3 linked regions of the Drosophila melanogaster genome follow. The protein of the gene in region 2 interacts with the protein of the main gene of each other region in a pairwise test. Each region holds a gene or a part of one and is shown on either strand. Other genes may lie near its edges.

What was found.
Region 1: the proteins of Tmem214 (region 2) and RNF220 interact in a two-hybrid assay, tested with the Drosophila melanogaster proteins (one large-scale study listed by BioGRID).
Region 3: the proteins of Tmem214 (region 2) and okr interact in a two-hybrid assay, tested with the Drosophila melanogaster proteins (one large-scale study listed by BioGRID).

What each region holds. Positions count from the first base shown.
Region 1 is NT_033777.3:22,724,337-22,728,321, reverse strand, and holds RNF220 (ring finger protein 220), read left to right. Parts: upstream 1-1,907; 5' UTR 1,908-2,052; coding exon 2,053-3,249; 3' UTR 3,250-3,438; downstream 3,439-3,985. Other genes in the region: CG45049 (uncharacterized protein), read right to left, coding at 831-1,015; Irp-1A (iron regulatory protein 1A), read left to right, coding at 3,798-3,810, 3,871-3,963.
Region 2 is NT_033779.5:10,964,401-10,971,818, forward strand, and holds Tmem214 (transmembrane protein 214), read right to left. Parts: upstream 5,804-7,418; 5' UTR 5,723-5,803; coding exon 5,602-5,722; intron 5,529-5,601; coding exon 5,233-5,528; intron 5,177-5,232; coding exon 4,562-5,176; intron 4,497-4,561; coding exon 4,292-4,496; intron 4,184-4,291; coding exon 4,038-4,183; intron 3,767-4,037; exon of another isoform or gene 3,456-3,766; intron 2,412-3,455; exon of another isoform or gene 2,165-2,411; coding exon of another isoform or gene 2,102-2,164; intron 2,010-2,101; coding exon 1,593-2,009; intron 1,511-1,592; coding exon 1,392-1,510; intron 1,320-1,391; coding exon 1,205-1,319; 3' UTR 505-1,204; downstream 1-504. Other genes in the region: YL-1, read left to right, coding at 6,154-6,287, 6,348-6,480, 6,557-6,857, 6,917-7,404.
Region 3 is NT_033779.5:2,989,047-2,994,605, reverse strand, and holds okr (okra), read left to right. Parts: upstream 1-1,846; 5' UTR 1,847-1,896; coding exon 1,897-1,899; intron 1,900-1,956; coding exon 1,957-3,271; intron 3,272-3,327; coding exon 3,328-3,481; intron 3,482-3,539; coding exon 3,540-3,945; intron 3,946-4,006; coding exon 4,007-4,170; intron 4,171-4,226; coding exon 4,227-4,539; 3' UTR 4,540-5,012; downstream 5,013-5,559. Other genes in the region: CG3558 (uncharacterized protein), read right to left, coding at 198-871; Bem46, read right to left, coding at 5,095-5,209, 5,269-5,447, 5,525-5,559.

The sequences.
Region 1 (3,985 bases), on a different chromosome or scaffold from region 2:
ACAAAAACGCGACGGAATATTTCAGTCATCATTGGGGGGCGTATTTTGGCTCAATGACAAAAGACGGAAGCTGGGGTGATGAGGTGCAGTCCCCACATAAATTATGCTGCAAGGCGGACTGCAACTAAGCATTTTGAATGCTGGAAATACCGACATGCTAATTATCCATTCGCATTCCATTGTTATACCCTAACTGAGAGTACAATAGAATAGGTCAGACTTGTGACAATTTATGTACGTTTGTAAAAAAAATATCAGCATCTTGAAATGAAATTTTGAACAAATATTATAAAACAGAGTCTTCTTATTATCGATCTTGCTCAATAGTTGCTAACAAATAGGAAGTGTATCAAAATTTCGTTAAAACTGCATATTATGCCTAATTCGCACGATTCCCTGCCAATTTTAATATCTTCAGATACGCAAACAAAGATGCATATGTTTGTGTAAGTAGATGTTGCGTCTAATGTATCTCAAGATATTTCGACGGGCTAGACGGAGATAAATATAGTTTTACATATAGCGGCTAGAAATGTGGAATAAAAACAAAAACACATTTCGCAGATGAGCGAGTACCGACTTTGTGTGTGTGAGTGTGTGTGTGTGAATGAGTGGCATGGCAACAGGATCATAACGGTTAATTGCTATATAGAACGTAACGGTAACGGCAGGCAAAATTGGGGCAAACGGCCAAATGCAAAACAACAACAATGGCAAGGGCGAGGGAATTCGTATACACGTATGTTTATATATGTGTGTGTGTGTGTTGTGTGCTATGCGGAAGAACGGAAGCAAAACAAAATGCGATCTGTTTGAGTTCAGGAATATACCTTTCCTTGTAATAGTCCAGGGTTACCGATTCGGAATCAAATTCTGAATAATCTGGCAGCGATTCGGCATCAAAGGAGCTCATTCCGCTGAGCGTGTAATTGGGCAAGACGTTCATTTTGTTGTTGTAGCCAACAAGGTTACCCTGCTGCTGTTGTTGTTGCTGCTGCTGGTACTGCTGATGCATAGTTGTTGCTGTTTTTTCTACGTTTATTTTACTATATTTGCCTTATTTAACAATATGGCACACGCACACACACTCACGCCCAGGAGAAACTGGCTGCTATATTTTTTCTCTATTCTCTTTTCGCTGCCTTTTCACACTCTCGCCGTCTGCTTTGCACTTTCGCAAAAATATGCGTCGGTTTTGGGTTCAACCTGTATGCACTTACACTCTGCTTGAAAAGCTCTGTCGCTTTTCCACTTTCACATGTTCCTCGACCACTGACTTTTCTATATAATCAAAAAATAAAAACGACGAAAATAATAATGTTTTGCTTCCCTCATAGAGCTGGAACTTAAATCGATGTTGTCTCGATACTATCGTTTTGGCTGGGCATTTCTCGATAGCGATAAAGTGCCATGGAACTATCAGTTAATTTACATTTACCGTCAAATTATTTAATTTAACGAAGAAAGGAAATTAAAATAGCTTACATTTCGGATGTTTAAACTTTTATCAAAGCGGGGGCTGTGCTTTATAAAAATTTCCTAACAGTGAGGGAGAGACACTATCTGTCACATGTTATATCGGGCATGTAAACAACGCAATCTGATAATATATATATATTGCTGTATTAAGACCAACCAGAGTAGAGTAAAAATTAAGAAATCAGTACGTTTAATTATTTTATTGTAAGACTTAAGGTCAAAAGAGTTGTTGGAATGCAAAATGCAAACTTTGAAGTTTTAATTAACACGGAATTCAAACAAATAATCAATTATTATAAAGATATTTTTAAGTGAATAAAATTTTAATTATTGCTTAAGCATATTAATCACTGTGCTTGGCGCTTTTGTAACGGTTTTACGATGTATATCGCAATGACCACTTCCACTGACACGAAAAATAACGAAATCAGTGTGACCGTTTTCCACCGTACGAGAACGTAAGAAATCGGCGTCGCGTGGCTTGGACAGAGATTATCGAACAAAACAAAATCCGACTACAGAATCTTTTAACTTCGTTTACCCTTAAGAGTCCGCGGTGGATCCGAGGAATCGATGGCTACGGACACGGTGTCCAACGGCGAGAACTTCGCCCAGCACTTGAGCAGAAACAGCGACGACGACGTGATCTGTCCCACATGCGACGTGAAGATCAAGCGCAGTCAGGTGGCCGATCACTGCCAAGTGGAGATGGAGCGATTGCACAATCCCATTAGCGCTGTCACTCCACCGACCCCAACTAGCGGAGCAACCGCGTCCGAGGAATCCGGTTCGGTATCGGGGGGCAGACAACCGTGGAGCGTGTTCCAGCGGGTGCAGCGCAATCGGCAGGCCCGTCAGCGCCAGCGCACCAGGAAGCGTCCGGCTTCTCCTGCCCCACCAGCAACTGTAAATCCTACGGTAGCAGCTGCTCCTCCTCCAGCTGCAGCAACTCCGTCCGTAGCTGCTGCCGAATCGAGCCAACCCACCTGTCCCGTGTGCAACCACAACTTTCCGCAGTCCAACATCCAAGAGCATGTTAATCATTGCCTGCGCCAGAGCCGCCGCAATGGTCAGGCCAATGGTGAGCGGCATTCGAGTGAGGACTCGGAGGACAGCGAGGAATATGAAGAGTACGAGTGGGCGGGACAGAAGCGCATTCGCGTCTCCACTCTCGTGCAAGGAGGCTATTCCGCCCTGGGCCTGGGCCAGAGAATCAAATACAATGGCAGTCAGCAGGCGCAGGACGACGAGGACGAAGATCTCAACGTGGACGAGGATGACACTCACATCTATGGTCCTACGCAGTATGGCGAGGGCGATGTGATCCCACTGGTCAACGAGGACACAGAGGGAAATGTTTCCGAGGCGGATGTTACCAGCTACGTGCGCCGACTTATCTCCTCCAGCGATGGGCCCAAGCCAAACCATTCCAGCGAAGCCACCGAGCAAGAGCCTGCCAGCACAAGCAACGTGGAGGCTCCACCAGCCAGCGAGGAGCCGTCTACGTCGCGGTCCACGCGATCCACCTCCCAAAACCAGCAGCAGATCATCGAATCGCTGAAGGCCAAGCTGCGGCTCTACGAAAAGCAGGCGCAGGGCAAGTACAAGTGCCTGATCTGCATCGACGACTACAAGAATCCCGCCATCTCCGTGTCCTGCTGGCACGTCCACTGCGAGCAGTGTTGGTTGCAGACGCTCGGCGCGCGAAAGCTGTGCCCGCAGTGCAACTCGATTACCACGCCGAAGGACCTGCGACGAATCTACCTGTAGACGTCCATCACAGACTTGTTATCCCCGCTGCCAAATTGCTTGCGCCATAAAACAGGCTTTGCATCCCGACGCAGCTTTAGATGATAATCCCCTATACATATTATTTATATAGATTACAAATACCAATTATACTACGTGACATTACAATAAGCCTACCATGTAACTATTGCAATAAACCGCAGAAAACATAATTAATATTTAAGTTTATTTAACGAAATTAGCATGTAGGAAGGGAAAAGCGTTTAAAGACATGCAAACAAGTTATTTTAAATACCTTATTTTGAACTAAAATAAAAAAGCAATCAATCCAATATTATATCCAATATTATTTTCGAATCACAAAAATGATAAATTATTCCACTATAATTTACAAATGTTTCATTTTAAGTAATAAATAAATATTTTTTACTGTGTACCGGTTTGTTTTCATGTTCAGTTATCGATAATATAATGTTTGCGTTAGTGATGAGCAAGTTTTGCCTGGTAGCGGTTCCTCACGCGCTCATCTCTATATCACATTGCTTGGTTTTCTGTTTAATTTTTCCACAATGTCCGGCTCCGGTGGGATTTAATTGGAAAAAGGAGTATTTGATCTGTACGCTAATCCTGTCTTCCTTGCAGGCGCCAATCCCTTTGCCCAGTTCCAGGAGTCATTCACCCAGGACGGCAACGTCTACAAGTATTTTGATCTGCCCTCCATCGACAGCAAATATGGTTGGTAATCGTTATTGTTGTT
Region 2 (7,418 bases):
AGAACCCTACTTTGTTGTACCAATTAGGAAAAGATTCTATCCAATCATGCCATTTCATGAAGATACCAAAGCTTATAAATATTTTAGAAATATAATTAAAACTTCTTCAACTTTAAAGGTGTTATTTTTCAAATACGCAACAATTTTTTGTTGTTTGCACTGCTTTGAATTATGATACACTGCTTAGGAATTTCTCTTCACTGCTTATATGGGTAACAAAAACCTAGGGAAATTTTAGTTCTTGGACTGCTTGCAAAACATTTGAACTGCTTAGTTTCGAGAGAACTGTTCTAGAAAAATTGCCCAGGAAATATTACTGATCTAAATTCTAGTCTCTTTTGGGAAATAAAAACTGCTTTCAAGCCGCTTTTCCAATTTAAACAAGTGTGTAGTGCAAGCCATGCTGCCAATGCCAACAGGTGTGTTCAGAATCTTACGATTCATCAATATGCCCCCAAAAACATAATCAAGCACAGAAAAACATTGAGAAATACGCCTTTACTTCACATCTTTCAATTTTATTTTATTTATGCAAAATCGTGTTTTCCATTAAATATACAAATGAGATTTAAAATCAAATCAAAAGTATCGCGCTATTATGCAAGTATTGGGGAGGAGTCTACAGAAATGTACACACAAATGCAAGAAAACTATGAATAAAAGTATAAAAATATTTGAATCTATTGTTTGCCTTCAAAATGCAGTTGGAATTGTTAAGTTCAGTTAACACAATAGAGTTAACACTTCGCGCATCGCCACAAAAAACGCACTTTAATAATTACAATTACAAAATTTCAATGGTAGAACTTTTCACAAAACTCTCATGCCGTTGTAAACGAATTTAAAAATAATGTTTTCTCAACTTGGAGAAAAATGTTTAAACACATGTTTTACAACAGAAAATTTCTCGTGTCTTTCACTAATTTATCAGTATCGAGGTTGAATTTACTAGATTGTTAGTGTACTATCGGCATCCACAAAGATTTGCTCGTATTGCTTTTTCTTAATTAAACTTGACGAGAAGTTGTTGATAAATGTGAATGACTTCTTGAGTTTCGACTTATAGAACATTTTCCGGTTTTTTAACTTTTTGCGAAAAATTAGGGCTTCCTTCACTATTTACTATGACGCGTATTCTGTTTGCATCTGCTGCAGCTGCTGATGATGTTGCTGTTCGAGAAGTAAGCGTTCCTGACGCTTAAAATCATTTGAGCTTGGCGTATGCGTCGACCTTTTTGTGAAACTGGTTGTAGTACTCCAGGGCGGCGTTACGCGTCTGGTTCAGCGCCTGATTGATGTTCTCGGGCGAGAGACGGCCACTAAACAAAGATCACAATCATAAGGGATGCATTCTCAAAGACAACAAAGGCCAGGCAGGCAGGCATACTTACACAAGCACCTTTTCCTTGATGAGCGCTGCAGCCTTTTCATAGCTGCTGGCGGCTAAATCGCTAACGCCAGCGGCAAAAGCTTCGATTTTGCCAGACGAATTGGGCACGTATTGGTCAATCTAAAATATAGATGGAACGTATTATTAATTCAAAACTGGTTTGCCCATGACCTCATCTTCATGGCGACTAAAAGACACTTACGAACTTTGCCACAACGGGCCATTTGGCGCCAAAGTATCCCTTGCCGTTCTGGTAAGCGTTGCAGGCCGCATTCCTCGCCAGCTTCCACAGGTCACAGGTGGTCTTGATCACCGGCTCGGCGTACGGCGGCACATTCACTTCCGCCCACTTGTAGCCCCGCGCTCCGGCCCCCATGACCGTGTACCAGGACTTCTGGACATGCGGCAGGACTCCGGCATTTTTCAGCACCTTGCCGGTGGCCGATTTCTCGAACACGCCCTTGCCGTTCACCTCGGTATCGTAGTACAGAGCTCCGGCAATCAGGGCGATGATGAAGATGCTACCCAAGGTCCACTTGCAGCATCCGCATTTCTTTTTTTCTGCCGCGGCCTTCTGTTTGTTCTTCTTCTGCTGCGCGCTGCTCTTCTCTTGGACGCTCTACATAGTACAAAATTAGAAAATTATTAAGAATCTTAATTGCTGGGGATAGTTGATATTGTGGAATCATTTGATTGAGTTCAATTTTTTACCTTTTTGGCGGCCGGCACTGGTTTGCCGCTCTGTTTGTTACTTTTCGGTTTAACCTGAGCCATTTTCTAACTTAATTTCAATGAGTTTCGATTATGAAGAGTATTTCTAGATTTCCTCAGCTGTTCGCAAAAGATGTTTAATTATTTATTGTGTTTATCATTGCAATTGTGTTTGCTAAAAAGAATGACGAGACTTTTTGAGCTTTTAAACTGAGCTTTTTTTGCGACTGAGCTCGATGACCTAAGATTTAAGAGTAAGCTAAAACCGCGAGTGAGGATGGGGATAATTAAAAATTGGAAATACGTAGTTATAATACCATTTTGTCCAGATTAAAAACATTTATATTCAATATGCAGGCTATGCTTAATTGGTGTAGATACTTTTTTTTCAATTTTTAGGAACACTTGTATAGGTTTTGCACAAATTTAATGAAGAAAACATGTATTCATTCATTGTGATGGTCTTCAAAATTAGATATATTTACTAATTACTTTAAACGTTGAAAATGAATGAACTAATGAACTAAATACATTAGTCATAATGATTATGAAAAAATGTAATCTTTTTTAAATTTGTTACTTTCACCATTATTTAAAAATAACACACCTTGTCTCTAAATTAAAGTATCATTTACACTCACAATAGTTTCTTCTGTGGACAAAAGAGTTGAATGAACTATGCCCTCTAAATTTCGTCTGTTTTATGCTTTCGGAGTGAAAGAAAGAAAGAATGATGGAAGGCCAGCGAGAATCAGGGTCACAGTGGACATGCCACGTGTTGAAGCAGCCCAAATCTTCAAATGGTTCTCTTTCGCCCCCCTTTTTGGACCATAGAATTCGGAATCGTGGCGTTGCGAGATTTTCAGGTGATAGTGCGAAACTGCACCACTGTGCAATAATGAGAGTGAGAGTGCGGAGAAGAGGCGAAGAGAGGAGGAGAGTGCGCACAAGCGGGATGTGAGAGGGGAGTGGGTGAGGGAGCAGGAGGCGAGTGGCCAATCGCAGCTGGAACACATCAGTCAATAGGAAAATAAAAATAAGCCTCAGATCAGCCGAAAATTGGGTGTACTGATAAGAATGTTGGCTGATAATGCGGCAATTTATGATCCCCGATGGCCATGCCCACTCTCTTTTCGAAAGCAAAACGTCTGCTCTGCTCGGAGAAATTTAGCGGCAACTGGAACCCGCATGGCAACGCTATGGGAAAAGTGCAGCTATAGCTGCCACCAATACCAGTGCAGAACGGCGGAATACACAACCGTTAATACTGACACGCACACATATGCACGAAACGCACTTTGCACTACTGCAACAGCAACAATAATTGCGACAACGCGATAATTAAGGTGCGGACCATTAATTTATGCTCACTCCAGGCTTCAAAAGCCAGTTGAATAGCGGAGAAATTTCGGACGAACGCCGGCTAACGCTTTCCATCTCTTTCCCGCAGCGACGTCGCGTTGGCAGCGTCCTCCTAAAGAACTCTAACTTCATTAACGGCTAACAGTTCGGCCACTTCTACGTGAAGAGTTTTACATTAGTTAGCTGCAGTGTAATAAGCTCATATCATTCTTTTTAGCACCGATTGCAATAAATTATTCACTTTTAGACGGCAGTTCTACAAGTTTATACCTTCGTTTTTCTTTTCACTAAAGCAATGTGACCAGAGTACGTAATGTACTAAGCCAGACCACTTAACTTAAACAGTGTTACCAGAGGTGTGAGAAAATTCAAATTTATAGTGTTTCTGATTTCATTTAAGTTTGAATAATAAGTTTGGGTTAAAAAAGCTAACAAAATAAATATATTACCTATATACTAGTTTTCCAATAAAACTATAAAAGATAAAACAACACACATTCAACATTCACCTTTTATCGATCTGGGATCAGAGCCTTATGCTTGGAATCGAGTGATATACTTAAGTCGCACTCACCAACAAAACCTCCTTTAAATCATCTAGGTGACCTTCGTTTCTCTTGCTTCCCTGCAGTTCTTCGTTCAGATTCGCCACATCTTGCAGAAAAGAGTGATACACAGTCGACGTAGCCAACTCATGGGTAGACGTGGTCCAATTGTCGTCTAGGAAAAGATAGAAATTCAATATTAGATAACACATTAACGTTAAGTGTGGGTGGTACTTTTAAACAAAAATCCAATTAAATGAATTTTCACAGCTGTAGATCGTACTTATAGCTTTCAGAAGCAGTAGACTAGGCAACTGTTGCTTCTTGTAGTTCATGCGCCACACCCTGAGGCAATCATCTCTGCCGCTGCTGAGCAGACAACTAATACAGCCTTCGATCTCATTAGTCTGCTTGGATCCGGCGCTTATTTCCCGGAAGAGCGTAAGGAATATGTTGGCATGCCTCACAGGACTGTTGATATAGTGTTGCTACACACAGGAGGAAGAAAGGTCAGTGAAACAATGGGACAACTATCAATTGTTTTCGTCCTTACAAGCAACAAACGCGCACTACGCTTCAGACTTTGCTGCCATTCCTTGGGCAGGTGGTTATAGGGTGCATTGAGCGCATTGTAAGTGGCAAAGAACTCCTGCTGGTTGATCTGCAGAGGATCCGCTGTCTTCCGGACAGCTGCTGCACTCAGAGCCCGCTCCATATACTCGACCACAAACTTGGTGTACTGCTTTAGCTCCAGGTTGGGCAGCATCAGGTTCTGCCACACGCGAACGCCCTCGTTTAGGGACTGATAGCCACCTTGTCCAATTGCCCACAGGATGCTCAGGCAGATGTTGCTACGGTTCTGATAGGAGTTCCTTAGCAACGCAGTCTTGGCCAGGTTCCTAGAACAAATGTTCGGCCAGTTTTGACCGATCAACTGTAGGATGAGCTTGTAGCCTGCCACTGTCTGATTGTTGTTTAGATCCGTTGACATGCTATCCAGCAGGGAGTAGAAGAAATACTCCAGGTTTTGTTCGCCCACACTGCCCAGAAACTCCACAATTGAGTACTTGAGCGAGGCGCTGGCCAAATTGCTGGGATACTGAGCCGAGCGGCCGGAGAAGATGGGATCGCAGTCATAGGACAAGGCTTCATTGAAGTATAGCGCAATCTGGGGGACAACGATAGGTGAGCAAATATTTAGGCACATTTCCTTTAGAAACATACATGGCTTAACCAGCGCAGCTCGGAGCCAGGACAACTGAGCTTCACCTGCTCCAGTTGGGCAGCAAAATCATCCCGGGTGATGTTTCTCAAGGCCAGCTCCAGAGTCTTTGGCTTCGATGCGGCTGCCGACGTGGTCCTTTTTTGGGTAGAGGCATTCTTTGCGGTGTGCTTTTTAACTGGCGACTTATTGGCTTTTGAGGAAGATGAGGCACTTGAACTAGATTTCGCAGGGGAATGGGACTTGCTGTTGTTGTTGTTGCTGCTGCCGAACAAATTGCGATACCGCTGAGTTGGCACTGCGAAGTGAATAAAATGGCAGGGGCAAACATGTAATCGCATTGCAAGGTGCACCTTTTAAAAGATTCTTACACAGCTCCTCCAGTTTGGGCAACTGGGCCGCGATGCGCTTCTGCTCGTTGTGTGCAGACACCTTCTTGTCCAGATTCTTTTGCTTGCGCGACTTGGAGACCACCTCCCATTGTTCCGACATGTTGCGAGCAGTCTTTTTATCGATGGTATTAAATTAAATCAGAAAATGCAGGCAGCCGGCAGAATAAAAAGCAACAAGCCAAGAGTGTGGCCAGCGCAAGTGTAAAGTAATGTGGTCTACTTTCGGTAGTTGAATTACCGACCGCTTTTTAATGTGATTTTAAAGCAGCTGCCTGCTTTTTGTTGTGATACATGTAATAGATAAATAAATAAATTTAGCTATGTTTTAAATGTGTTTGAATAACTGCCAATGCAGGAGAAACCATTTTCTTTACCAGGGCTGAAACGCATACCAAAGTTGTAAAGCCTCTGCGATATATACTATGTTTGCTACATTGGTCACACTGCTCTGCTTGTTTACATTTACAAATTGTAAAATATTATTATTTAATAGCTGCTTTAAATCATAGTTTCTATATATAAATAACAAAAATGGCTGCCTCGCGATCACGGCGCAACAATGCCGGCAACAAAATAGCTCATTTGCTCAATGAGGAAGAGGAGGACGACTTTTACAAAACGTCCTATGGTGGATTTCAGGAGGACGAAGAGGATAAGGAATACGAGTGAGCACTAATCATTTGAATAAATTTAAATGCTCAAGCCATATAAAATTCACTCTGCAGGCAAAAAGACGAAGAGGAAGATGTGGTTGACTCCGACTTCAGTATCGATGAGAACGACGAGCCCGTTTCGGATCAGGAAGAGGCGCCCGAGAAAAAGCGGAAACGCGGTGTCGTTAACACAAAGGCTTATAAGGTGCGAACCATTCTTAAAATGCGATAAAATCCTGTGATTACTGAATGTGTTTAAATGGTACATATGATTTCCGCAGGAAACCAAGCCTGCAGTCAAAAAGGAAACAAAGGCAACGCCGGCCCTGCACAAGAAACGACCTGGTGGTGGGGTAACGAAACGGCGGCCACGTCCACGCTTCACGGTCCTCGATTCCGGCCGCAAATCCATACGCACTTCCACGGCCATCAAGACACAGGCTACCAAAATACGCCTCAAAGAGTTGGACGATGCCCGCAAGCGCAAAAAGAAGAAGGTGCGCGTGGAGGACTACATGCCCACGCAGGAGGAGCTGCTGGAGGAGGCCAAAATAACCGAGGAAGAAAACACTAAATCTTTGGGTGGGTATCTAAAGCAACCAAGGAAGCAGCTATTTTACAATTTGCTGTTGCATTCACAGAGAAATTCCAGAAAATGGAGCTGGAGAAGAAGAAATCACGTCCCACCAAGCGCACGTTCTCCGGACCCACGATACGCTACCACTCACTAACCATGCCAGCGATGCGAAAGCCCACTCGCGGAGCAAACCCTGCGGTCGATTCAAAGGATCTTGCTGGGAAGTGCGAACGCACATTCGTTACAATCGAGAACGATTTCAATGACAAGGTGTTTCAAAGCCTCTTCCGCCACAAGGCGCCTCCCAAAGCCAGCAATGGCATCTGTCCAATCACCAGGCTGCCAGCCCGTTACTTTGACCCGATCACACAGCAGCCATACTACAGCATCCAGGCCTTCAAAATTCTGCGCGAAGCCTACTACATGCAGCTGGAACAGCAAGGCGGCGGCAGCGAGCAACCCGAACTGGCCAAATGGCTGGAATGGCGCAAGCTGGTCAAGGAGAATCGTCTGAAGGCTTCGGCAGCTGCCAGCAAAAACGGAGATAACTAATAATGCTATCAATT
Region 3 (5,559 bases), 8.0 Mb from region 2:
ATATAAATCTTAGAAGATAAATGGAACAAGTCAAGTGGATTCATCACTCGTAATTGGAATATTACAGGGTCACTTTTTTAGTATTGCCTTATCTGGCTAATGTCGCTATTACGCGATGAATCATTACACAAATATTCATTTATCGCTATTCTTTTTTATGCTGAATGAATTGGAATGTTTAAAAGTTATGAGCTTACTTGGTAGTGGTTCCGCTTTTGGGTGGCGCCACGTTGCCATTTAATATCTGCTCCTGCACCTGCGTCTGGGCGGAGAAGAAAAAGAGGTCCAGCAGGTGGACATTCTGCATAAGAACCACGCACAGCTGGTTCAGCAGGATCACCAGGCGCTTCTCGAGATCGGGCGGAAAGATCTCGCCCTGGCTGGATGCCAGTATCTTGAGCAGGGGTCGCAGGAAGGGCTCGTGGCAGAGCAGCTGGTGGCGCGAGTGGCTGACGAGCAGTTCGTACAGCTTCAGCTGCTCCAGCCTCACAGCGTTGGCATACCGTCCCGTGGTGCAGGCCCACTCGTACAGCTTGTCCAGCAGATTCTCGCTGAGCAGGAATTCCAGGCAGGGCGCCGCAGGCGGACCACTAGCCTCGGCCGCCGGCAGCGAGACTTTGTTGCAGTGATGCAGCTCCACGAGCAGCAGGGTGACCATGTAGTCCAAGTGCGAGACCACGCCCAGCACGTCGTCGTGCGAGGGCGGTGCACTGTGCTGGATGATCTCGAAGGCCTGCTGCCAGTGCTTACAGAAGCTGTCGTAGCAAGCGCGCGGATCGCAGTCTGTGGCAGCGTCGATGGGTCGCTGTCGCAGTGGGCCGACGTGTCCGACGGAGGCAACGCCTCCACCGCTGCTCTGGCGCAGCCACATCGTTGTCGGTGCGGTGTGTGTGCGATTCGGTGGCTTTTAGTGGCGCTGGTCCGCTGATAACTGCTCCGTGTGCGTTTCGTTTGGCATGAATTGGTGGTGCTGGTGCTCTGTTATCTCTCGTTTTGTGCTTTTGTCCGACTGTGTGAGTGGTGAGTATTTCAATGTTGCTCGCTTTTTAAATATTTAGAAGCTAAAAGAAGACGCACTTTAGTTGAATATTCGCTATTTACTTTTCTCTAATGTTCCCAAGAACAACAAGTGACACACTTACGCACACAGCCACACACACACCTGTGTACGTGTGCCCACCTATTTGGGCACTCACTGTGGTTGTTGTTGCTGCTGCTGCTCGCTCACCTGATGAATTTAGATTTGATCATCGTCATCGTCTCCGCTGCTTTCCGCTCTCCGTGCATCGTGCATCTACACCCATTACTGTTTAGTGGCCCTTCTTAGATGGGTTTTCACGCTTGCAGCATTTGCAGCGTTTTTTTTTTTGGCACTTTGGCAATTACAATTACAAATACAATTAAGTGGTAGTACCAACACTTCCGCAGATTTGCGGACTAGATTTGCGTTCTTGCAGCACGAAATTCGCGCTTTTGGCGCGGGTTTTGAAGTCAAGAAAGGGAAGGCAGTCCGGCCCGCACTTTATTGCCTCATTTTGCACTATTTTCGTAGTGTTTCCAAAGCAATTCTGCGTAAATATTTACAATTATATCTGCACGGAAATAGAAAGTTAGCGATGAGCAGCTATCAATATAACATATCGATGTTTCGATTATACCTGAGATACATCGGGAATTTTTGACATCGGGGTGTAGCAATTCCATTTTAGTTTTATTTTTATCTAATTATCTATTCACTTTTAAAACAGCGTGCTATGATCACAAGTATTAGTTTGATTAAATGCGTTCTGTTTCATTATCCCAGCGTTCCACTTACCAGTATTTCTTATCGCCTGTGTGACCAGACTTCCGCGCTTCTATCAGCTGTTCGCGCTACCGCCATTTGAATTTAATGAAATGGTAAATACAAAAATTTGATTTATTTAATTCCATTTCCCTAATCATTTATTCCTAAAGCGGCGCAGTCTGGCTCCCAGCCAACGTGGACCACTGCGTCCCGAGTCCCGTCACTCCTTCACGCCGCCACTGCTGAAGAAAAACAAGCGATCCTGCCAGCAGGAACTGGAGCGAGAGCAAGAACTGGACAGAAGACGACTGGGCGCCCTCCGAGATGCCAGCAACACATCAGAGCTCCCACTGCCTATTCGCTTCACGGCGAACAGCGAGTATGAGTTGGCCATTGCCAAGGTTCTGGCACGGAAGTTCAAGGTGCCCATGGACAATTACGTACCGGATTACGGTGGTAAACGGGTCCTGGGCGTGCGGCGCTGCATTTCCCGACGACCCCTACACGATCCGATGGCCTGCAACGCCTTGGTACTCTTCCATCCACCCGCCTACACAGAACACGAGCGCATGGGCATGGATCCGACCAAGGTTCTGGTGCACGTCGTCGTCGATCCGCTGCTGAGCAACATATTGCGGCCGCACCAGCGCGAGGGAGTGCGTTTCATGTACGAGTGTGTGGAGGGAAAGCGGGGCAACTTCAATGGATGCATCATGGCCGACGAAATGGGTCTCGGGAAGACGCTGCAGTGCGTAACGCTGGTCTGGACACTTCTAAGGCAGGGGCCCGAGTGCAAGCCGACGATCAACAAAGCCATTGTCGTGTCTCCATCATCGCTGGTTAAGAACTGGGAGAAGGAGTTTACCAAGTGGCTTCACGGTCGACTCCTTTGCCTGCCCATGGAGGGCGGGACCAAGGAGAACACCATCCGAGCACTCGAGCAGTTCTCCATGACTTCTGCCCGGCTGGGGACACCTGTTCTGCTCATCAGCTACGAGACATTTCGCATCTACGCGGAGATCCTGTGCAAGTACGAGGTGGGAATGGTGATATGCGACGAGGGACATCGCCTCAAGAACAGCGACAATCTGACGTATCAGGCTCTCATGGGACTGAAGACAAAGCGACGGGTCTTGCTTTCCGGCACTCCCATCCAGAACGATCTTACTGAGTACTACAGCCTGGTGAACTTTGTAAACCCGGAGATGCTGGGAACGGCGGCCGTGTTTAAGCGCAACTTCGAGAGCGCTATTCTGCGGGGCCAGAATACTGACTCCACGGAACAGGAGCGACAACGGGCCATAGAGAAGACACAGGAGCTGATAGGTCTGGTCGATCAGTGCATCATTCGTCGCACTAATCAAATTCTAACCAAATATCTGCCGGTTAAGTTTGAAATGGTTATCTGTGCGAAACTGACGGCGATTCAACTCGAGCTATACACGAATTTCTTGAAGTCTGATCAAGTTCGACGTAGTTTGGCGGGTAAGTCATTAGGCAATACTACCACAACATTCCTACCATTTACAATTCCCTTCAAGATTGCAATGAAAAGGCTTCGCTTACGGCGCTGGCAGACATTACAACGCTTAAGAAGATTTGCAGTCATCCGGATCTCATATATGAGAAGCTCACTGCGCGGGAAAAGGGATTCGAAAACTCCCAAAATGTGCTGCCTAGTAATTACAAACCAAAGTACGTCGCCTGTTGCGCGCGAATAGCAATGGCTATTAATGAATCTTTTGTGTTCCAGGGATCTCAATCCAGAGCTAAGTGGCAAGTTCATGCTCCTGGATTTCATGCTGGCAGCAATACGTGCAGAGGGCAACGACAAGGTGGTTCTCATTTCCAATTACACACAGACCCTGGACTTGTTCGAGCAGCTCGCGAGGAAGCGAAAGTACGGATTTGTCCGGCTTGATGGCACCATGTCCATCAAGAAGCGATCGAAGGTTGTTGACCGATTCAATGACCCGGAGTCTGACAGCTTCCTTTTCATGCTGAGCAGCAAGGCTGGCGGCTGCGGCTTGAATTTGATTGGAGCCAACCGCCTGTTCATGTTTGACCCAGACTGGAATCCGGCCAACGATGAGCAGGCAATGGCCAGAGTGTGGCGTGACGGGCAAAAGAAGCCCTGTTACATATATCGCCTCGTTGCCGTGAGTACCTGAATTGGTTCTGCACGGAACTTTCTTTTTCAACTCAAGAAATCTCTTTCAGAGTGGTTCCATCGAGGAGAAGATCCTGCAGCGACAGACGCACAAAAAATCCCTGTCGAGCACCATCATTGACAACAACGAGTCGGCCGAGAAGCATTTCACCCGCGACGATCTGAAGGACTTGTTTACATTTGATGCGAACATTCTGTCCGACACACACGACAAGTAAGAACTGGCTTTGGATACCCTTTAGATCATGATCGTGTAACATATCTTTTCAGGCTCAAGTGTAAGCGCTGCGTTCAAAATATACAAATGAAGCCACCGCCCGAGGACACGGACTGCACCTCGCATTTGTCACAATGGTACCATTGCTCCAACAACAGAGGCCTGCCTGACAATATTCTCGCCCAGGCCTGGATGGATTGCAAGTGCGTGTCCTTTGTCTTCCACCACCGATCGCAGGCTCAGGAAATTGTGCCGAGTGCTGAGGAGGAAGCAACAGATCAGCCAGAGGAAAAACCAGAAAGCCGCAAACGATCATCCACGCCCGCCAGTGATGACAGTGCCGATGAGGACTTCCGTGGATTCTAGCAATTGTTTGCAGTTTATTGTTTCTCGAATTTCCTTTTTCTTCGCACTTAAGTCTAAACTTAAGATAACTTTTTCTGGCTTCCTTTGCAATCCTAACAAGTTATTAATTTAACATTTCAAAAATGGAACCAGCACAAAATGTTAACGTGCTAGGGGTGAAGGCTTCTATAAACTAATCTGGCAATGTAGGAGTCAGTCCAGAAAATAGTTTACTTTTTTGTGAAATACTGATCAATTTCTATACTCTTAACTGGCCGCCAATCGGGCAAAGTAGTAGGTTAACATAGCTTAGGACAAATACAAGCAAACATCGAAATTCGGATTCTAGTGTGTATTCACTTGCTTAAGCGCAAAGTTATTTAAGTTGGTTACTTAAAATCAACAGCCATCTCCGCTAGCACGTTATTCTCTGCACATAAAAAGCAATTTGGCGTATAGCAACGTCCGGATTAAAACCCTGTCAGATACAGATTAATATTATGCGTGTGTATATGTATAAGTATTAAACCATTCGCAGTGTTAACACAGTCAATTGAACACTTGATGTATTCGGGTCTATACATCAATAATTTTATGCTCCAGCTCCACCCAGACGTTGCTCTTCTCCGGCGCCTTGAGGAGCGGCTGTTGCTGCAGCTCGGCCAAAAACCCACCGATGGCCTGATAGTACCTAAAAAGCAAGCACACCCATGGATAAATGGGAAAGTGAAGATTAATTGCCGGCCATACCCGTCCACTATCCAAGTGTCGTTGTGCGATCCGCCGGGGAATTCGAGCAGGCGCTTTATCTCGCTGCCGCATTTGGTATACAAGGCACGCATCATGCGCGGTGGCACTAAGTTGTCCGCAAGGCCCGAAATAAACAAAAAGGGAACCGAACACTTGCCTATCTTGCTCATGGAGTGATACTGCATGTGAAACAACAAACAATAATGTGGTAATGAGATAAAGTAAACAGAGGGCTCAACCGGCGACGACTACCCACCTTATTCTTAAATAATAGATTTGGTATATACTTCA